Linked DNA regions of Rhinolophus ferrumequinum. The protein of the gene in region 2 purifies or fractionates together with the protein of the main gene of each other region. This does not show direct contact. Links are inferred from orthologs where the notes say so. Each region holds a gene or a part of one and is shown on either strand. Other genes may lie near its edges.

Region 1 (7,983 bases), on a different chromosome or scaffold from region 2:
GGGTCTGAGGGTGTCTCGGGGTGAGCGCTGTGACATTAGCGTCACTGACCGGGCGCTTCCAGGAGTCTTCCCCACCTCAGGTTGCCGGGGCCCGACTTCCTACCAACACTATGTAAAGGATGACAGGCCAATTTTCCTGTCACAGACCACCTGAAACATCTGCCCAGCTGTTTGCACTTGTCTTTCAGGAGAAGGCAGTCAGCCGTTGCCACGGGGAGGGTTCTCTTTCCTGTTGGTGGTTTGTCCTCCACCCCCTCCCGAGGGATTAGCCCCAAAATCCTGCCACGCTGTGGGGGACGAAGCCACCATCAGAGCTTCAGGCCTGGGGGGTGGCTCTGGCTCCCGTTTTCTTTTTGGCATTGGGCGGAGTTTGCCCAGAAAAAGAAATACAAGTGACAACATTCTTGTAGCCCTTCTTGGAGGTGACATCCCATCACTTCTGCATTCTGTCATTGGAATGGCCAGCAAGTGAAGCCCAGGCTGGGGAAGTGACGGCCCAGGTGTGAGCAACAGCGGGGGGTAGGGGTGGTGGGGGGTGGTGTCTGGGGCCCATGCCGCCCGTCTTTCCAAAGAGCCAGTTTTTGGTCTTGTGACTCCTGGGTAACATGGGCTTTACTCCCTAACTTTTCATCCACAATCATGTCTTTGTTTCAGCCTTTCTCTTTCCGTGGGTTTACTCTGCAATTCCTCATTTCTTGAGTTGGACGTGAGATGCCTCTTTCCACCTTCCTTATCTCCCACAGTCCACACACACACACGTCCAGGACAGAAGCTCCCTCAAGTCTGGCTTGGCTGCCCCGTGGACATTTCCATGTAGTGTTTCTTTGTTGTCGGCTTCTAAATGCTTTAAACTCATTTTTTTGAAGCATGAGTCAAATATAGTTTATGGCTCTACATTTCCAAATGTTTGGTTCTATTATCTTAGTTTTATTGTCATTGCATTTGGTTGGAGAACACGATCAATATAGGTTTTTGGTATTTTGCTGGGACTGGTTTTGTGGCCGTGTCATGTAGCCATCGTTGGTAAACATTCCATGTGCTTGAAAATGATGAGTTCTTTAATTTGGGGGTGCAGGGTTTCTGGTCCTCAGTCTGCACACCAAAACCGGTGTCCCCACCTGGGCCAGTGGGGACAGCAACCTTCCTGGCTGGCGTTGCGTGCAGTGATTTGGAACGGACTTTTGCTCCCACACATGGCCAGCCCAGGAGACACCAAGTTAAATTCACAGCCATGTGTGGAGCCCCAGGAAGAAGCATTTGTTCATCCAATGCGTTAGTGATTCTTTGTGGATGTGCTTGTCCCGCGTGGCGCTGAGGCCGACACCACTCAGTGACCGGGGCCTGGCTTCCTGAGCTGGGTGGCTCTCCAGCAGCTGGAGGGCTGGCTGCGTCCTTGGCAGGGCAAGTGGGCACTGAGCACCTGTTTGCAGGCACGTGGCCGGCCCCAGGTGCAGGAAGAGGATGAGCAGGCCACCTGCACAGATGCAGGTCGGCTGTTGGCGCCTCCCAGCGGGCAAGCCGGGTGCAGAGCTGTGCCTGCAGAGAGCTGTGGCGCTAGTGTGGCCAATATGGTCATGCCTGGGTCTCGGAGTCACAGCTGTAGTCACGTGTGGGGAGCACACAGAGTTCTGGGGCTGCAGCCCCAGTGCTGGAAAGCAGCGCTTGGGGACAGTGGGACGGGAGGTGGTGCAGGCACCAGAGGAGCCAGGGAAGCAGTGACGAGGCCTGCTGGCTGGCTGCATGGTGAGGCTGTGGGAGGCAGAGCTGAGGGAGGTGCTGGGTACCTGGCCACGGTCACCTCTCCCTCTTGGTTGCACCTGTGAAATTCCTTGGAGCTCCACTGCAGCTGCAGAATGAACTTGCGTGTGCAATGGAAGAAGTGTGAATTCTGGCCAGGTCCCCTGCTTCTAGGTGGTCCCATCTGTTGCACACTCAGGCATCTGACAGCCGTTCCTGCTCAGCAAGTACAAGTCAGAATGTGAGTTGTGGGTTTCTCCCCAGCTGACCCACCGGCCCCGGGTCCCTCAGCACGGAGCATATGGCCTGATTCTAGCTGTGAAGAATGGAGTGGCCAGGCCCCCTCTGTCCCAGCCCCCTGCAGCCTGGTGGCAAGTCCTCCAGGCCCTGCCACCTTCAGCTGCTGCTGACCGTTTCCGGAGGGGGGGTTCCCAAGTGGGGTCTCTGCCCTGTGCACCCCACCATTCACATCACCCCTTCTGGCAGCCAAGAATAGAAGCCAAGGCCCTGACCCTGCTGTCTCTCCATCTCCTCCAGCTGCAGCCCTCTGTCCCTTGCACCCACGCCAGGACTTTGAGTTTGCTGCTCCCTTTTCTGGAATGTTCTTTTCCCAGACTTCTGTAGGTATGGCCCTCCCCCATCAGGACTCCATGCCTGTCCTCTCCTCCACGACCCCACTGGGCCCCACTGTCAGGCCCGTCAGCCCCAGTGCTCAGATGACCCCTCCGGGGTCTCCTCTCAGCACAGCCCCAAGCCAGCATAGGGGGGCCAGTGGGCCCACAGGACACCCTGGGCCTTGGTGGTGGTGACAGTGGGAAGCCAGCAAGGGTGCCTTGTCCGAGCATTGTCAGTGCCACTTCAACTCAATGACAAGCTGGATCCTAGGCCGCCTCTCAACGCCACAAGAGAGACGGGTTGTTTTGCAGTGGCCATGACGCTCCCCCAAGAACCACTGAGCGAACAGCACTAGCGTCTTACAGCAGCTGATGGGGTGGAAGCGCTGCATGAGCTCGCACTGATTGCCGGCTTACAAACCGTTCAGCTGTCTGGACAACATTGCAGACGACCCAGAATGACTAGAAGACAAAGGACCTCTAGTTCTCCACGGAGAGAAAAGAAAAATATTAACTTCTGGTGTTGGAAAAATTCTCGCATTCCTTAAGGAAAGAAGTGGGGATGCAGGTACACCACCTCTGGTGACCTGGAGGGAAGGTCCGGTCTCTTCTGGAAAGGAGAGGCACACCGCGGTAGTCGTGGGCTAGACTCTGTGGCCACAGTCTGAGCTTGCTTCATGGAGGCAGAGCTCAGGTACCAGGCGCTTCCTGGGCACAAACCCAGGTCCAGCTGAAGACCAAAGGGTGGGGGCTCCTTCCAGATGATCTCTCCTGGGAGGGGGCAGCTCCACCAGGAGGTGACAGCTCAGTGGTGTCAGGCAGGGCAGAGATGGGCTTCCCCTGGCCTACTCACCTGCCTGCCCCAGGCTGTCTGCAGGCCAGTTCTCTGAAGGGAATTCAGGGGCCTCAGGACCACACACACAGGTGTGGGGACAGTGGAAGGGTATCTAACTGATCCCTCGGTATCTAACTGATCCCTCGGTCCTGTCCCAGAGGCTGTGGCACCGCTGGCCAGGAGGACCGAGGAGGCATGCACGGGACGGCTTGCTCAGAGCCATGCATCGATCCTTCCTGTGGCTCCACCGAGCAGGTTTCCACCTGGAATACATGTGGCTGGGGGAACAGAGACCCCTGTCCTCGGGAGTGGGCAGTGCGGTAGGAAGACAGCCCAGACTGAGAGGAAACCCCTGTACTGGACACAGGGTAAGGAGGAGGAAGTGGCCATGGGAAGAGCAGGGGAAGGCAGCAGAAATGGCGTGTGTGGTGGCCCTGTGACAGCCGGGAAGAAGGGCCATGTGGCTGGAGAGTGGGAGGTTAGAGGGAGAAGGGTGCAAGAGTGGGGGCTCTGGCTGTGACAGGAAGCATGGATTTCCTCTGTAGTGCGACGGGAATCCTTAAAGGGTTTTGAGCAGGGGGTCACAGTCTGATCTACATTCTGGGAGCAGTCACAGGGGTGAAATGATGTGGGAGAGCCTGCTCTGGGCAGCTGTGAGATGGCAAGAGCGGGTAGCAAGGGGCAACCTAGATCTCAGCACAGGAGGTGCTAAGGCAGGACAGGAAGAGGGCCAGGAGCTGGCTCAGGCCAATGTTTGGGGAGTAATCTTCTGAGAAAATGGGGGTGGGGGGTGACACACACCCTGGTCTGGAGTTTTGATCTCTCCCTCCTGGTTCCTTTTGAATCTGCATTCAGAAAAGTTCCCTAAGAGGTTTGCCACATGCTTACATCCCGCTTTCTCATTTCTCCATGTGTTCCAATTAATCCAATTTGGAAGGTATTTTTACAGGTGAGTACTAAGTGGGAGTTTAAAAGTACTTGTTTTCCAAGTAGATACCCAGTTCTCCGTCATCCTTTGTTGGATCCCCCACATTTCCTCACTGATGTACGAATTATAAAAGCGAAGACAACAGGACTGATTTCAGGGTGGCCACGCGGCCTGCAGAACTGCACCAACAGCTCAGTGCCGGCCACCGCAGACGTCAGGGTGCCTGGGCCTGCGGCTCTGGCCTGCGGTTCCTCCGCATCACGGATCACCTCGTCTTGGGGACCGAAAACTCCCTTGAGGGCCGGGGTGCCCTCTGGACTTCTGGAACTAAGCACCAGTCACTCTCTAGGGCTGGGGTCGGTGTCCAAACAGGCTGGGGTGAGGACTCCGCTTCAGTCACCCCGGTCACCTCTCCGAGAGCCCCAGCCCAGGCCTGGGAAGCCCGTGTGCTCTGGCTTCAGTGTCTCAGAGCTGGTTCCCTTGCAGCAGACTAGGAAAGCTCGTCTAGGAACTTCCTGTCCAGGCCGCCTCGCCTGGGCAGGCGCAGCCCGGCGGCTGCGTGTGCGGGGCAGGCAGGTGTGCAGGTGCCTGAGCGGGGCAGGCGCGGCCAGCGGGAGTGAGCATCGAGGCCCGGCCTGGCAGATATTGGTGCAGGGCAGGTGCGGCGCGGGCAGCCTGGCTCCGGGAGGGGGCGGGCGGGGCGGGCGGGCGCGGCCTGCAGCCGCCCGCGTGGTGCTGCGCGGCGCCCGCGCCGGGAAACAGGAGGCCGCTGGGCCGGAAGCCCCGCCCGCGCGCGCGCGCCTGTCCCCGCCCGCCCGGTGGAGCGGCTGCTGGCGCGGCGCGGCGCTGCTCGGCACGGCGGCGCCCGGGCGCAGGCGAGCGGGCAGATCAGCGGACGGCGCCCAGGCCGCCCCAGGCGCCGGGCTCGCGGCGGAGCGCGCCGGACTCGTCGAGGCCCGCGGCCGCCCGCGCCTTTCAATGGGCAGCTCGCACTTGCTCAACAAGGGCCTGCCGCTCGGTAAGGCCGCGCGCGCGCATTTCCGGCCGCGGGGGCGGGGCGGCGGGCGGGGCCGCCGGCTTTGTGTGCGAGTGCGCGTGCGCGCCGGCGTCCGCGCGCCGCCGGGCCGGGGGCGGGACCGAGGGCGGGGCCGGGCCGGGGAGCTCCGAGCGCGTGCGCGGGCTGCTGTGTGCGAGTGCGCGTGCGCCGGCGCCGCCGTCACGCCCGCCGCCCGCGCAGGTGACACAAAGGGGCGCCGGACCCCGACCCTGTGGACCCTCGGCCCACCGGCCTATCGCATTCTGGCTCCGTGACTCCCAGTCGGACCCCCGGATCCTGGCTTCCCCAGACCCACGGTGCCCAGACCGCGGACCCGAGGGTCCCACTCCCCCGGACCTCCCGGCCCCACAGACCCCAGATCCCAGGCCCCGGGTTCCCGGTCCCCCACCAGACGCCCGGTTCCCCAGATCCCCGGTGCTCGACCCCGACCTCAGACGTGCGGTGCCCAGCGGGAGGGCCCTCGGCCCAGTGTGTCCTGCTTGGGCCACAGGTCTTGTGTCAGTGAGACGGGCTCCGCTGCTTCGTTTAAGTCACTTCCTGTTGTAAATACTCCCCCAGGGCTTCAGCGGGCGGGGGAATGTCACAGACTCGGGTGGCGCACGATGAGATCAACTACACGCAACTTGCTTTGAAAGAAATGAAAAGCTCTCGCGTGTCCTGAAGATGAACTGCGTTTTGGCCCAGTGGGGGCTCTGTCCCTGCCCTTGGGGGCTCCGCGGGCCTGTCTCCTGTGGAGGCGCCGGGGGCCGCCAGGGTCTGCTCGCCAGCCGGTGGCCAGGATGCGGATCTGCCTGGGACGGCGAAGCCCTTAAGCTGGAGGGTTTTCTGTGGGGACAGGCGCTCGGCAGGCGTTTCAGTGGTGCTTGCTTCTGCAGCCGGCTCTGTACGGCCTTTGGGATGTTCCGTCCGTTTCTAAAAATGTATAAAATTATAAGGTCTAGCTGGTGGGGAGGGCAGCCCTTCCCTCGGTGGCTTTCAGCGGGACAGCTAGGGCACAGTCCTGTGGCGTCCTCGTGGTCACAAAGGGGGGGCCAGGGGCCCCCACACAGCAGTGCGGCCAGAACTCAGCACACTGCACTCCCTTCCTTGAGCCAGTCGTTTCCACCTCAATAATTCAAGAGATTTGGACCCAGTTCTGTTTGTCACAAGGCACCTGCCCCCCTTGTGTTTGAAAGATGTCAGACAAGGGTCCTCGCTGGTCTCTGGGCAGCACGGGGGAGGGGAGCCCAGGGCCTGGGCCTGTGGGGGAGCAGGCTGGGTTGGGGACCCCCTCTGCTGGGAGCTGGCCTGATGGTGGCCCCATGCCTGCTTTCGCATCCTGCCCGGCTGCCGGTGGCCATCTTGCATGTGCTGCAATCCTTGTCAACTTCCAGCCAGCGTGGGCTGGGGCCTGCTCGTGGGAGGGGCTGTGCGGTCTGCACGTTCTCCTGCACCCTGTGCCGGGTCCGTCAGCCCCTGGCTTCCTCTTCCCAGCCCCCCTGCCCCTCGCGGTGCCCTTGGAGCCCACAGAGTTTGGCACTGGGGGCCTGTGGGAGGGAGGGGCTGTGACTGCACCTGAGCCAGTGGCTGGAGGCTGGAGCTTTCTCTGGCTGGTGCCCAGGCCTGCCCTCTGCCTGCCTGCTGAGAAGCCAGGGTGCTGTCTCTGGGATCCCCAAGGGACCAAGCCGCGGGAACCTGGCAGGGAGCCAGACCCTGCACAGTGATGCTCCCTGATAGGTCAGGACAGACCGACCTTCGGGTTGGGGGAGGGGAACCGCCACCACAGAGAGGTGCACAGCTTGCTTCTCCTCTGGTGAGCTGACTGAACTGCAGGGTCAGGTCGCAAATGGGGGCCCAGGGCCTTTTCTCCCCATTCTCCAGGACCCCTCCATTCTCCTCTTCAAAGTAGCAACTTCATTTGCATAAAAACATACTCAGCAGAAAGCCAGCCCCCAGCATGTGGAGCCCACCCACCCTTGCGAGCTCCTGTCACATAATCGGGGGACCTTAAATGTTTTCTGAGCAACCCCAGACACTAGTGAGCAGCTCTCTGTAGGAGAAGGCCTTTGGAGTTCAGAGGTAGGTCTGTCCTTGGCCCCCCACCAGTGCTTGGTGGGGGCTTCCTTTGGGCCAGCAGTCCCCAAGCAGAGTGTTGGGCCTTGATGGGACTTTTCTCTGCTGACGGTTTGTCACCTGTCCTTGGAGTTTCCTGTGTGAGCAGGCGCTGGGGATGTCCTGTTTGAGTAGCAGGGCCCAGCTCGTCAGTGCTGACACCTTTGGCCTCAGCCCTGCTGTTGCCGAGACCCCCTTCCAGGTGGGTCCTGTGGCTGACAGGGGCGTCAGAGGTGTGGCGTCCTGAGCTTTTTATCTGGTAACAGCTCTCCTAGAAGACTCAGTTTCCCCACTGGTGGCATGAAGGAGGACTGCTGGCCCTCACTCTGTGGGTCGCCTGGCTCAAAGCCCTGGGTGGCCCTGCCCCCAGGACAGGAACTCACACCCCAGGGCAGGGACCATCCCCTCCAGAAGCTGAGCTTCAGACCAGCCCATGGGCCACGCCCTAGCGTGGGCCTCCTGTGGCCGCCCCTATAGGCCCGGGTCTTGTGAGAGGAAACATCCATAATCCTGCAGACCTGGAAAACTCAGGGGCCTGTCACCACGCGGGACGACAAGGGGTGGCTCTTAGTGCTGTTGTGTCTGCCATGTCATCCTTAGGCAAGTGGTCCCTTGTGTCCCCTGTCAGCCCTGGAGCCAGGGTGGGGGAGGGTGACAACCTGATGGGACTGGAACCTGGGACCCTTCTGAAGGAATCCCAGCGGACCAGTTAATGGTGGGG
Region 2 (7,378 bases):
TCCCAGCTGTATGACCTTGGATGAGTCACAGCAATTTCCCCATCTGTGAAATGGGTAACAGTTCCTACCAGTAGGATAAGCTTGTTTATGTAAATAAAGCTCTGAGAATAATGAATGGCGCTCTTCGTCCAAATTTTTAAATCAGTGTGAAAACAACGTTTTAAGGTGTATTTTTTTTTTTTGACAATTTGGGCGGAATTCAAGAACCAAACGGTGCTCACATTCAAGTGAGGAACCTAGATTACAATATTCTTATAATCGAGGGTTGGATGAAAGGCATAGCCAAATAGTTGGAGTCCATCACTCACTGATTTTGCCATTTTTAACTATTTCGGGGAGGGGCCTTTCGCTAAGTGTTAAGATATTCAGCAGTTTCGGTGGATCTAAGTGAGAGTAGCTTTGTATCTGGGAATAGACTTGTGAAGTTTTGCTGCAATACCCAGATATCAATTATAATTTACGAATTCTCAACCACCAATTCCTCCGGCTGCTAAACAGGTCATCACTCCCCCTCGAGTGGCCGGGATCACTTGCACTCACGGCACAACTTCAGAGCCCGCCGAGTGCCCTCGCTCCAACACACACCCCAAAGGGCCGCGGAGGCACCCGGCTCCCGACCTTCCCCGGCGCCTCGCCCAGCAGCCAGCCCCATTTTCTTAACCCGTACATTGTCCTTGCGGAGAACCCCGGCGGTTCCCACACTGGAGGGGACCAAGAGGAGGGACGAGGGAGGAGCTGGGGGAAGAGGATGAGGAGGAAGAGGAGGAGGAGGAGGAAGACAACCTCCTCCCCTTTGCTCGGGCGACCAGTGAAGGTCTGGCGGTTTCTCCAGCCCCCAGGCCCCGGCTCCCGGGAGGCCGCGGCCCCTGCTCCCACCCTCCGCAACTTTCCCTCCGCTCGCACCCGCCTCTCCTCCGGGACCGGGCCAGTCGGGCTCCCTCCCCCGGCGGCCAGCCCCGGGCCGCGGCGCCTCCTCCTAAAATGGCAGGTCCCTCCCTCCGCCCGGCCGGCCTCGGCGCGGGCCCGGCTGCAGGCCGCGGGGGGAGCCGGGCGCCGGGCCGGGCGGGGCCGCGGCCCGGCCGGACACTCACCAGGACGATGGCGGGGCGCTCGCGCCGCTCCCTCCGGTGAGTCTCAGCCTCCGGCTCCCGCCGCTGCGCTCCCGCCGCGGCCTCCGCAGCCAGCGCCGCCCGGGTCGCCGCTCTCCGCCCCCGGCGCTCCCGGCTCCGCGGCCGAGCCGCAACCTTCTCAGTCTCTCTCCGGCTCGCGGTTCCAGCGGCGCCCGGGGCCGGGGAGGCGACAGCCCCCTCCCCGGCAAATACCGCAGTCCCCGGACCCCGACTCCCGGCGGCGGGGCCGCGCGGCCCGGCCCGGCGCGGAGGGCGGCGGCGGCGAGGCCGGGCGCCGAGTCGCGACCGCTCCCGGCGGCTTCTTCTCGAGGAGGATTTTGTAAATCTCACAAAATGGCGCGCGCTCCAAACCTGCGCAGCGAGAAGCGCCGGGGCCCGAGCGGCGGCGGCGGCGGCGGCTCCTCCGCCAGGAGAGCCCGAACCGCCCGCCCCCGAGTCCCTGCACAGACAGACAGACACTCACACACACACACGCACGCACACTCGCCCTCGCACACGCTCACTCACACACACACTCTCACACTCACACCGGTCCCGCCCGCTCGCCGGCGGCGGCAGCGGCACCAACAGCAGCAGCAGGAACAGCAGCAGCAGAAGCGGCGGCGGCGGCGGCGGCGCCCGCACCCCCCGTTTGGGGTGTCCGCTCCCTGAGCCCGACCTGAGCCGCGATCAGCAGCAGCGACGGCAGCAGTCTCCCCGGATCCCCCCGCCGCTCTTGCCGCCGCCACCCCCGCCTCACTCCAATGGGGCTTTTTATTATTATTCGGGCGGGAAGCGAAAGGGTTTAAAAAAAAACCAACCAACAAAATGGCGACGGACCGACCCGGTCGCTATAGCAACTGTCAATCAAAACGCAAAACCCCGGCTGACGTGCTAACGTCCTCCTCCCGCCCCCCGGCTCAAGCCGTTGGGCGGGGCCTGTTGCTCCGGCAACGGCAGATTCCGTTCCCTCCTTTAGTTCTCCCCCTCCGTACCCAACCAACCACCCAACCCCCTCAGGTCACGTGAAGGATAAATTCGGAGCTCGGGCCCGCTACGAGTGTCAGAGGAGGGCGCGTGATTCGCTCGGGGGAGGGAGAGGAGGAGGATGGCAGGGCGGAGGGAGGGGAGAGGAAGGGGGGCGAGGCGGCGGCCCGGCCCGTAAGCGAGCGCCTGCCGCCTCCCCTGCCGCCTGGCCGCGCCCCGCGCCCGCGCCGACTGCGGGCAGAGGAGCGCGCGCGGCCTCTGCGCCGCCACCCCCGGAGCCCTGCGCTTCCGCGTCGTGCGCCCGCAGCCCCGCCCGCGCCGGGGGGAGGGGGGTCGGGCTTTGCGGCCGCGTGGGGACCCCCGGAAGCCCACCCCCGCGCGCCCTGGCCCAGGGCTCTCACCTTCGTTTCACGGTAGCGCGCCAGCCGAGGGAAGGCAGCCAGGGTGCGCACGTCCGCGCGTTTAAACTGTTCTTGGAAGGGCTCGCGTGCCCCCCTCGCCGGAAAATGCCCACGGAGGCCGCGGCTGGGGGTGGGGAAGAGGCCGCCTCCGCGTTTCAGACATCTCAGGAATTCCGGACGCTTCGCCCGAATCCGGGATGCCCCTGCGGCTGACACCTTGATTAAATCATGCCACACGGTTTGTGTAGCCACCAACGCCAACGTTCAGAAATTGTGGACGGAACCATCATAAAAACTTTTTAGGCTGTGCACGCTCTCCCTGGCTTTCCCACCTATTTCAGACCTCTACCCACCTTGCTGGGCGCTGCCTTCTCGATCGGAATAACCCCCTAAATTAACACGACCTATTACTGTATCCTTGTTGCCCAACACCGTTTTCTTTTTCATGTACCATCTCAGTTTCCAGATTCTGAATTCGCCCACAATTCTTTATTAATATTCTGGCTTTCATGTATTTTTATTATATCTACCCTTTCTGCTTAAATGTTGGTATGTGTCCCTACCCCCCGCCCCCCAGGCATTAAAACCTAGCTGTGCTAGTAGCCATGCTGTGCTGGGTACTTTGTAATCAATAGACAGCCACTGGCTAAAAATTGTATTTTGTACCAAGCCTAATAAAATGGCACTTAAGTGTTACGTTAAAAAGGATAACAGATACTATTTTACACCAAGACACTTAATTTATTGATTGATTTCTAAGTTTGGTTTTTGCCATCATATAATAGTGTTCGTATCAATTTTTTCTTAAGCTTAAACTGTTCACAAATACAGTAGCAACAGATACAATCTTAGTAAAGAATAACAATCCTGTAATAAATACTGGTTCTATCCTATGTAACTCAAGGAAAGACACTTGCTTTAAATGGTTTCCAACAAATGTTTCCCTCCTTCAGTGATAAGAACATTGATACACTTAAGGCAACCATTCAAATTAGCACAGGCCCTGAAAGAAATCAGACCAAACCTGAAATAAATGAGACAAAAAGTAGTCGGGCAAAAAGCTTACTTCAGGCTGATTCTCCTCCGTGGTATAAAAAGTTGCCATGACTCACAAATTCTTTTGGATTGCCGACTTTTTCAAAATTGCCCTGCTAATGCAATTAAAGTCCACGTTCAGCCCGATTGTTTTGAAGAAACTGGCCAAGAGGGTCCATGTTGAGGTGAGAAATCGCTACCTTAATTCCTCCCAGACTCACGTCCACCTATATAACCAACCCCTCCCCCACTCGGGGTTTTCTTCTCCCTGCTCCCCACCCCCACCACATTCACCAGTTTCACTTCTATCATAAGCACTGGAGCATTAGCAACCTTTAACACTGAAGTTAAATTTGAGTCAAATTTTTATTGGTGGTAATGAAGGAAACTTGCATAATTAATTTTTTAGATAACCTGGAAACAATATGACAGTGTCTCAAGAAATGGGCCCTTGTCTTCAGTCAAATCAATCTAGAAGATTATAAGGGTGAGGCAAAATCTTGAGCTTACAATCATGCAGTAATTGAAGGGATTTCTGGTCTTCATATCTAGAAGGCTGCACCCTTCCCTCTCAACCACACAGGGCCAGCCCCACCCCCACCCATGTGACAGTCTTACACAACATTGATCAATGAACTGTCACTGTCATGTCCAGGTTGAAATGCTGTAAAGTGGTTTTAATAGGCTTCACCTAAAAAGTAACCTATAAATTATGCTGGCCCAAAACAAGTAAACAAATAGGCAGGAAGGACTCTGGTTCAGATGCCAGTTTAGTGTTGACTAGGTTTAGCGATTGAATCCTTGCTGTCATCTGAGAATCTCATCACATCCACTGACTGATGTATCTATTCATAGAAGTTAAACTATAAAAGCAAAGACCCCACCCAACTCACAGATAATAACAGCCTCCACTAATCCAGTACATTCTAGGGTATGTCTAATCCTCATAGAAACATTTCATCCCCATTATACAAATGAGAAAACAAACCCGGAGTAAATAACTTTCCCAGGTTACACCACCAGTAAGTGGTGAAGCCAAGATTCAAACCCAGGTGTAATTGCAAAGCCCATTTCTACCACACCAAGACGATCCAAGATTATTTGGATATCAGGTCTTTATAGAGGTAATCAAGATGACATCATTAGAGCGAGCCCTAATCCAATATGACTGGTGTCCTTATAAAACGGGGAAATATGGACAGAAACAGACATACACACGGGGAAGACAACGTGAAGACACAGAGAGAATGCCATCCACAAGCCAAGGAATACCTAAGGCTGGCAGAAGCTGGGAAACAGGATTGAATAAATTCTCCCTCACAGCCTCCCCCAACACCTTGATTTTGGACTTCTAGCCTTCAGAACTGTGATACAATAAATTGTTGTTTAAGCCACCTGATTTGTGGTACTTTGTTATGGCAGCCCGAGCAAACTAACATGCAGATTCTAACCAAGATGCTGGTTTTTTTGTTTGGTTCCACACCTGTTAATGACCATACTAGGTGATACACTATACGAAGCTCAAAAGTTCAGAAGTCAGAACCCCACGAGTTATAACCCAAACATTCCAAGGACAAAGAAACGAATGTTCCTACGACTGCCCCTCACACCAGGTTAGAAGGGGAACAGTTTTACAATTCGTCCCTGGACAGTGGCGCAGCCAGAATCTGACAGCGCTGCACTTCTTACAGACTTCTGAGTAAAGCTCCTTCATTGCTCCCCTTGTATAAGCTTTATTGTTAGTTCTGATTGTAAAAGTTAGTCAAGTGTATGAAACAGATTAAAAGGAAACAAAATAAACCAAGAGAGGGGCCTTATTTAAACTGATAATGATAGCATGCTATGAACCAAGAAGTTAATACTCAGTTCTCTACACTTGAGGTCCAAACACAAAAAATGAAAGTAACATGTGGACATGAGAAACAGTTTTACAATAGGGAAAACAAAGAGATAAAGATTATTCATAGATTTTTAAAAAAAGATTATTCATAGATGTCACCCAGAGATAAACCTCACTCATATCTTCATATTGGCATATATCCTCCCAGACATTCTTAGGGAAACACGCATGTGCACACACTCGCAACACATGTAGGTATGTTTTATGCCTTTTTTACTTGCAATTATGAACGTGTTTGGTGTTAATCAACTGAAACTTAATTATTTTAACAGCTACAAGTATTCCATCAGTTGAATGGGCCATAATTCATTTAATTGCTCCTCTATTTTTAAAGAGTTTTCCTCTTTTTGGTTATCATAAATAAAGCTGTATAAACATTGCATATATACATTTTCCACACCTGTCTGGTTATTTCCTTAGGATAAGAGCATGAATCCTTAAAGAGCTTTGATCGTGTCGCTAAAGTATTCTTCAGAAATGATTTCACCAATTTGCACTCCCAAAAGTAGCGTGAGGATGACTTTTTTCCACTCTTGTTTTAATTTGCATTTGTTGGACCATTTCATGTCTTCTTTTTTATATACATACTTGTTGGCTATTTGTCCTTGCCTGTGTATATATCCCAAGCTCATTTAGGGGAAAAGGAAGAGGTGTCATCTTTTTGTTGATTTCTTTCTAATTTTACTGCAAAAAAGAAGGAAATTGGATGGCTATATGCTGTTGTTAGGCTAGTGTATGATATCAACACCAGACACCCATCACCCCAATTTATCCGTTACCATCTCCATTCCTTGCCATCTGACAAGTGGGTCTAGCCCAGACGGCTTCCCTGCTCTCAGCTTCACTGCCCTCACCCAACCCACTCTTCTTACCTGGACCACGTGCTCTGCCATGACGGAGAGCACGTGGCAGAGCATGGCAGAGCACGTGGCCCAGGTAAGCATCATCAGGTTGCTTACAATGTTGTTTCATGGCAAGATGTGGTTCTAATGGTGTCATTTTTAAAAGTGAGGATGATATGTATTGCTTTCCTGTCATGTAAGAATGTTTACCAATATTATTTCATGAATTATCTTTAATATTTTCTTTTTTGTGACATCAAAATAAAGGTTAAATAGAAAATGTAAATGTTAGATTAAAGCATATTAATTAATTGCATGGTTTTGGAATATCCCGAAAAAGTATTTTACAACATTTGGTCAGGATTTAAAAAGAAATACACTTTAATATATTGATTCATATATATGGCAGCTTCCTCGAAATTAATAGTTTGAGGGAAAATGCCCTAATGAAACTGAAAAATAATTAAGTACATGGAATTTAAATTAGGTAGAGGAGACACAGAAATCTACAAAGATCGCTTACTTGAATGGTTCATTAGCTCAACAGTTCTTGAGAGATTTGGCTTATTTTCTTGGCTTTTTAATGTAGGTATGTAGTGGACATCATTTAATATTCCTACAGTGTTTATCAATATGTGCATTTACTGCTACTGTCTTCAACATATTTCCTATTTTACCTCAATTCAATTCAAAAGATATTTATGTGGTCAGAGCAGTGGTAGTACTTTATTCTATCATATTTGTTTGACTGTTTCTCAACTACAAGTGCTTTTAGGGCAAGGATCTTATATTTTCATCTTTGTATCACTAGCACCATATCTGCCATACTGTAAATACTACTTTGTTTTGTATTTTTAAATGCATGATGAGCTCCTGCAATTTTCTTCCAGTTTTCCTCCATCCTATATGAGGTTTTTGGCAATCAGAAAACTTGAAGGGAAACTGTCCAGTGATTTGTAGACAAGTAGGAAATGTTCTCTTCTGATCTTAAAATGGATGGAATTTCTCTAGCACCAGAGGACAGATTGTTGCAGTCAGCAAAGCTGGAAGACGAAAATCCCACTGAAGATACAATGTCAGTGATTACCATGAAGCTGGTTAGTT
Region 3 (7,347 bases), on a different chromosome or scaffold from region 2:
AAAGAAGAGATTTTAAAACAATTTCAGGAGCTCAGGATATTTATTTTTAATTTTTATCCAAAGTGAAGCAAACAACGTTTAATTTTTAAAATTCATTTTCAATTCTGTATCAGTAGCCAGTTTCGGAAATTTCTCTTATTAAGTTATAGTTACATTAAATTATTTTTCAATGAGAAATGGATTCTACGTCCATGAATTTCTTATGTGTGCAGTTTATTTTCACTGAATAAAAATTCAAAAGGTTTAGTGTCTTCGTATTTTATATGTGAATACCACTGAAGTTTGATGGCTTTATTGCTTCATTTAGCAGTTCATGGTTTTAGCATTTTGCCATGAGTTATGGCTATGAAGTCAATCGCGGGAGGTTTATACTTCTGAGTAAAATTAGTACAAACACTTAAGTCTTCAATTCTTTGGGATCACTTCTCCAGTCATTATTTGGTTTACTACTATTATTACTAACCTGCTACTGACATGTTTTTTCTTGGCGAAACAGGACAGTGAGGTTTACTTTGCCATTTATAATTTAGGGTTAAATTAAAACAAATGACACAAATTTTACTCCCCTATTTAGTTATGAATTTCAAAAAAACAGGCTGATTAAAAATTAAAATGACTATAAAAATTGTAAGAGTAAATAAATAGATACGTTTTCACTCACTTTTGGGTTACAGTTGACTAACCTTAAACTTTCTTTCCTTATAGTGGTCCTTACTATAGCACATGACAAGGACACAGACATGCTACCCGCAACTCACCACACAAGTCACAGAACACCTGAACTGTTCTATACTCTGTCTAATGAGAGGTGTTCAATGATCATGTGCTTGGATAGTGATGAAATGTCAAATTGCAATAAATGCTGCTAAGCATTTACTCTTAATTTCTGCACATATCTCCTTCTGGACCAAATGCAAGCAGTTTGCAAACTGGCACTGGTCCAAGGACCACTAGTAGTGCTGCTCTAGGGAACCTGCACTGAAGAGACTGGGAGGAAAACTACCGTGTTTCCCCGAAAATAAGACCTAGCCGGACAATCAGTTCTAATAGTCTTTTGGAGCAAATATTAACGGAAGACTGGGTCTATAATAACGTAACATAACATAACATAACACAACACCACATCTTATATTAATTTTTGCTCCAAAAGATGCATTAGAGCTGATTGTCTGGCTAGGTCTTACTTTCGGGGAAACACGGTAGTGGAGGAGTGTCGTAAGTAACAGAAGGGAGGAGGAGAACAAGCAGACCATGGATTTTTGGAAGACTAGGGAAATTTTCAGAAAGAGGAAGTGGATAACTGTGTTAACTGCCAGAAAGGTTAAGTACGTTGAGGACCAAAAAGAAGCCATGACTTGACATTTAGGACATCGGTGACCTTTGAAAGAGTGATTTCAGGAGAGTGCTGGTAGTGGTGGTAGAAGACAGTCAGGCACTAGAAGGGAGACGTTTGGGGAAGTAGAGAACGAATGGGGACTACCCTTTCAGCAAGCTAGATGGTAAAGAAATGGAAACAGTGTGGTACCTTATGAGTGAAAAAAAAGTCGAAGGAAGAATTTTTAGATGAGGGGAAAAACTATTGACATCACTGAAGGGGCCTCAAGCTGGAAAAGTTCCATTCCAGGTAGAACATCTAAGACAGATCTTTATTTGGTCTTAATGGCAATCTTAAAACTACTATGCAAATGGAGGAAGATCAGAGGAAGCTTCTTTTAAGAATCTGCAGAATTTGTATTACTTCTTTGGAAGTGCAACAGAAAGCTGTGTGGAGATGCAAGGATTTTGATTGACTCAGTTGCTCCTGAGCTGTGTGTAAGGATTCTAAATGTAGTAGGGAACAGTGAAATTAATTCATGGTAAAGATACACACCCTTTTGTAAATTGAGAAATCCCTTTTTGATTTATCATAATTGTGGTAAAACCAGATGTTGATAAACTGAGATTAATAAAGCAAGTCTTATCTGCCTATGAAGAGCATTTACTCCAGTCCCCAGAACTTTCCTGTGCTCTCCTGCCCTCCCCACTTTTAGCAAACAAGCATTTACTGTGTGTCCAACACCGTGATAGGCACTAGGGCTACAATGATTTGGTCTCCATCCTGAAGGGGCTCATTAGAGAAATAGTGTAACTTACGATGCTTTCTGGTTAAATCAGAGGCTCAGTTATGTTACTGAGGACATACTTTTTTTTTTTTTTTGACATTTCTACTGTACCATCCTTAACATTTTTGCTTTATTCTCAAGTCAGCTTGTCTTACGTCACAATGGCAGCAGCAATTGCAAGGGTCGCATCCTCATAATAGTTAAGGAGTAGAAGAACTGTGTCATCCTGTATCTCATTTTAGCAGGTTCTTAGCAGACTATCTGTGACCTTGGAAAGACCAACTGCATCCTGAGCTCCTGCCTACACTAATCTTGGGCAAAGTGAACAGGATTACCATTTTGACGGGAGTTGCTGTATATAGATGGGGCTGGGCATGGATCCTACCTCTTGACAGACTTTTGGTCCCCACGTGAGGGTTTCTGATCTTAGGCAGATATCGCTGGCTTACAAATATACTTTGGCTGTTGAGTAGGCTGAGGACTGACAACCCCTTTTAAATATTGGCATACATCATGGTATACACAGAAAATGGGAATTCATTACCATCTACTCACTTCTGTAATAAACCCAAGAGGCTTGTAGCCGTGAATTGCCTGAAGGTTTCTGCTGCCTCAGCCCTGCTCAGCTGTTCCAAGGATGAGAGGATTCACATCAGAGCACACTGTGTCTTATTCACAGCACCTCAGCTGGGAAGTTCTGGCGAGGCAATCCTCACCATCTACCAAAGAGAGAAAAACATGTACTCAATCTAGACAATCTATTACAGTAAGTATACACCAAGTGACAGAAAAGACACAATTTCTAAGCCATTATTTGATGGTGGTAGTTCCAGCAAGCTCTTCTTTGTTGTCTTTGTGCGTTTGCACATGCTGCTTCTCTCTTTTTGGTGTTTTATCAATGCAATGTAATGGATGTGTAGAGTCAAATCAACCTGGATTCAAATCCTCTGTCACCCATCAGCTCTGAAATATTGGGCAAATTAACTTCTCTGAGCCTGTTTCCCATTGGGTAAGAGGAGTAATACTAAGCACTACTCGTTTTAAAGGATTGTTTTTGAGTATTAAGTAAGATAATTATGGCCAGCACAACCGTGGTACCTAATGTTAACCAATAAAGATTTCAGGCTGTAAAACAAATTAAATGTTTATTCGCGGGTCTTAAAAAAGAATTCGAATCTGAAAGACCCAGATTCAGGTAGCAACCCAAAACGGGCTCTGGACAGAACAAAGAGATAGGGTTTATAAAAGCAAAACGACAAAGTGTAATTCTTTCATGCAAATAGAGGATTGTCGGGTAGGTTACAGGGATTGGTTAATTCCAATATGCAAACGATGGAGGCAAGAAACCGAGAAGGAAGGAAGCTAAGTCTATATATATGTCTATGTAGCAGTTACTGTTCCAGGATGTTTATGGGTGGGCCTTCTGCTGAGTTTAGCAACAGGTTTAGCAACTTAATCGCAGCTCTGAGAACTGAAGCACAAGATGTGTAGGGTCCCACATCCCTAATAGCCTCCTGACTATTTTACGTGACTCTCTCAGCAATGCTCATTCTATTTAATATTTTCCCCATTATCAATACTAAGCCCTCCTTAAATGTTAGGTCTCCCTGGCAAAATTCTACTCAACTCCCACTGCTCCTTTGAAGATGTCCTTTACACAGTTTGATGGTGCCTCCTGTTTTTACACCACTATTAACACATTTATCACACTATAATGTTATTTACCCACAGTCCCCCTCCGTTTCTTACACGTGATCCCTAAAAGGCCCGTAATTGTCCTACAATTCGTATCTCCTAGTGGTTGGCAGAGTTCGCTCCCATTAGATGTTCCATAAATGTTTTTGTTTTGGCCAACTTTGCTTAACGGATTGGGCGGGAGGAGTGCGGTGGAGACTGAGGGTGCCGCCCACGGAAGAGAGGGGGGTGCTCGTAGAGGGTGCAGTAGCCTGATATTCCCGGGAGGGCCTGAGCGGCACCCCCTGATCCGCCCATAGATGGAGATGCGGCCCAATCTCCCCCACCAGACTGTGCAAAGCCCCGTTACCCGCACCCATGCCTGGAAGCGGGAGACAGGTTCAGGCGGCGACTTCGGGGAAGGCTCCTGGACGCAAGCCCGGACTCCCCGCCCAGCCCAGCCCGCCCGACCTCCCGTCCCCACCCAGCGCAGCACCAGGCGCCCCGGTTCCCTCCCGACGCCGGCGGGCCCGCGAGCTTCGCGGACGTGACGCCGCGGGCGGAAGTGACGTTTTCCCGCGGTTGGACGCGGCGCTAGGTTGCCGGGCGGGGGAGGGCTTGTCCGGTTTTTCTCAGGGGACGTTCAAATTATTTTTGTAACGGGAGTCTGGAGAGGACGGGGCGTGACCCGACGTGCGCGCGTCCTCCGTCCCGGGTCCTCCTCGCCGCTCGCTGGCTCCTGCTCGGGCAGGGCGTCATGCCACCCAAAACCCACCGGAGAGCAGCCGCCGCGTCCGCTGCCGCACCCCCGGCGCCGCCGCCGCCCCCTCCTGAGGAGGACCCCGACCAGGACAGTGGCTCCGAGGACCTGCCTCTGGCCAGGTGAGCGAGGAGAGCCACTGCGGCGGCCGACGCGGGAAGGGCGCCCCGAGGATGCGTCTCGGCGGGCGCCGCGGCGTCTGGCGGGGGCGCGTCTTCGCCGGGGGCAGGGTCCCGGCGGAATGAGGGTCCCTGCTTGTCCCCCACCGCCGCGGAGCGCCTGGAGGCGGGTGACAGGGGCCTGGGATCGGGAGCGACGGGAGGGCAGCCGGGAGGGGTCTCGGCTCCAGCTTGACAGGTGTCGGGCGGGTGGGGCTCGGGTCCCTGAGCGAAGTGACAGGTGCCGCCTTTCCTCCGCGGGACGGGAGGCTCGCAGGCGGCGGGTAATTTAGAGGCCCCATCAAACGGAAAAAAAAAAAAATAGTGTCTGGTGGAGAGTTTTTTCCTGTTGAGATTTGTAGTACTCCGGTGGTCTTAGACTTTCTGTTTTGATCTCCTGGGATGCAACAGTTGGAAGTGTTTTCCTCTGGGCGTGCAACTCCAGCTCAAGCCCAGTTCTGGGAAAGGCCAACCAGAAAAGCCTCGGACGTTGCTGCAGAGACGCCATTGGACGTGAAGTTCAGGGTCCTGAGTGTCAGTTTGCCTCCAGGGTACTCGGCTGAGGTGCTTTGTACGGTTCTCCTATAATAATGCCTTGAGGTCTTGGGGATACAGAGCCATCGTAGTGACTGCTGGAACGTAACTTTAGAGGAAATGGTGTATGGGCAAAAGTCTTGTGAGACATGTAGTCTAAGTGCTTAAAAGGGTCTAAACTTTTTTTCTTTTTTCTTAAAACTGAATGTGAGTCAGCTTCAGCATGTCTCATTATTTCTTCCATTTTGCCTCTTGGCTTTGAGCCAGCAAAGGTCCTGGTGTTTCCCCCCTGCCCTTTTTTTGTTTGGTTACAAAATTTGTGTTCTTGTGCATACATGAAACTTTTTTTCCTAAGTGGAATTTAAATTTAAGAAAGTCCATGATATTGCAGTAGAACACGACAGGAAGATATTTATTGTATTGCAACATCTTATTTTTCTTGATTGTGGTACTCTGTGGTTAAGAAGTTAAGATTGAAAGAGTATAATTGTCATTATTGGGGGCACTGGTCCTACTTTCAGACTACATGTCCATTGCAAGCAGTTGGGACTCCTTTCTGTCCCTCACCACTCCCTCCCTTGTTCTAGTCCATTGCCAAGTCCCATTTCTTTCACCTCCCCAGACACTAACAGAATTCAGGCCAAATTGTAAAAGATTGGAATGGGCTTTTGGAAAGGGCCCGTGAAAGGCTATTAAAAATTCATATATTTCAAAAGACTGTCTTATGGGTCAGTTAACATCATACCAGTAAAAAAAAAAAAATTCTGGGGATGTTCTGGGGGAGAAGACATTATTTAGCTTCTGATTACACTGTGATGTATCCAATACTTGAAAGTTTCCCTTTGGAAAGAGCAGTCAAGTCTACTTTACTAAAGTGTTCCATGTTATCCACAGACCTTTGGAAACAGTCTCGATTATTGTAAGGTAACCAGAAATATTGAAGTTCTGGCCATCACCTCGGACTTGGTTTCTTTTATTCTTTTCAACACCTTGTTTTGCATACCTTTAAATGATGGAAACTCATTGTTTTTTCAACACCTTGTTTTGCATACCTTTAAATGATGGAAACATAAATTCTCCTGTAAGTCAAAACCATACAAGATACAGTTTGCTTTTGATTATCCATACACACAAAAGGTTTCATTAGCATGGGCAATCGAACTCTATAGATGAACTACTTAGCAAGGATAGCACCACTGTCTGGCAGTCTGCAGCCAAGAAATTTACTTAGGGATGGATTCGAGGCCCAGTCCAACTGCACTTCCAGTGACAGAGTCCATTTCTACCTTGACAGTTGAGATCCTTCTTTTACATTATCTCTGGCCTGAATGATGTAGTTGGGAGGGAAACCCTCACCAGTAACTGCATGTTATCTTCATTGTTGAAATAACCAAAGTTAATTATGTCTTGAAGGATGGTTGGCAGTCTGGAATAGTGCTCAAGGGAGTGGGTTATGAAGTTAGGCTATTGGGTTTATATCAAGTTTTCCTACTTACTGGCTGTGATGTCAGGTGAGTGCTTTAACTTCTCTGATTTGGTACTTACCTGTAAAACAAGGATAGTAAGAGTAGTTACCTAATAGGACTAATGTGGGGATTCAGTAAAATTATGCATCTAAGCTGCTTTGGTGGGGTCATGGTAAAAACTCAAATTGTTAGCTGTTCCTCATGCTATTATACATGCATTACTTATACAGTATTATACATACTATTAGTATACAAAATTATTAGAGCTATTCCTCATAATATTAGATGTCAGATAGACATTAAAGGAATGAAAAGGAATTAGCCAACAAGAGTTTATTGACTGCATATCTTGGTTAAGGAAGATCTAAGAGCAAAGGCTGAAATGAACTTAGCAATAATTTGTGTCAAGTTAATCATCATGTAAGAAATGTTAGTAGGTGGAGAGATTATGTATATGAAACATTGATAAGTGTAGACTGTATTTTAGCAAAGTCACTGATAGTGAATTGATTCTGTAATAATGGGCTTTTCTCTTGTTGTTATCCTTATTTTACCAAACAGCTTTAGCTCTTGTGTTCACTTCACAAAGCTATGATCAGGCCAGCAAACATTTTTCACTGCATGGCATCCTTATTTTAGAAAGACTATGAAAA

The links.
Region 1: the proteins of DYRK1A (region 2) and CTBP1 purify together in Homo sapiens (affinity purification with mass spectrometry; 4 studies listed by BioGRID and IntAct, with this or other methods). This does not show direct contact. The link is inferred for Rhinolophus ferrumequinum from reciprocal best matches to the Homo sapiens genes DYRK1A and CTBP1.
Region 3: the proteins of DYRK1A (region 2) and RB1 purify together in Homo sapiens (affinity purification with mass spectrometry; 4 studies listed by BioGRID and IntAct, with this or other methods). This does not show direct contact. The link is inferred for Rhinolophus ferrumequinum from reciprocal best matches to the Homo sapiens genes DYRK1A and RB1.

What each region holds. Positions count from the first base shown.
Region 1 is NC_046288.1:87,554,080-87,562,062, forward strand, and holds the start of CTBP1 (C-terminal-binding protein 1), read left to right. Parts: upstream 1-4,983; 5' UTR 4,984-5,092; coding exon 5,093-5,132; intron 5,133-7,983. UniProt on the Homo sapiens protein: Corepressor targeting diverse transcription regulators such as GLIS2 or BCL6. Has dehydrogenase activity. Involved in controlling the equilibrium between tubular and stacked structures in the Golgi complex.
Region 2 is NC_046285.1:102,489,939-102,497,316, reverse strand, and holds the start of DYRK1A (dual specificity tyrosine-phosphorylation-regulated kinase 1A), read right to left. Parts: upstream 3,062-7,378; 5' UTR 2,498-3,061; intron 2,140-2,497; exon of another isoform or gene 1,092-2,139; intron 1-1,091. UniProt on the Homo sapiens protein: Dual-specificity kinase which possesses both serine/threonine and tyrosine kinase activities. Exhibits a substrate preference for proline at position P+1 and arginine at position P-3.
Region 3 is NC_046287.1:89,098,359-89,105,705, reverse strand, and holds the start of RB1 (retinoblastoma-associated protein), read left to right. Parts: upstream 1-4,347; 5' UTR 4,348-4,533; coding exon 4,534-4,658; intron 4,659-7,347. UniProt on the Homo sapiens protein: Tumor suppressor that is a key regulator of the G1/S transition of the cell cycle. The hypophosphorylated form binds transcription regulators of the E2F family, preventing transcription of E2F-responsive genes.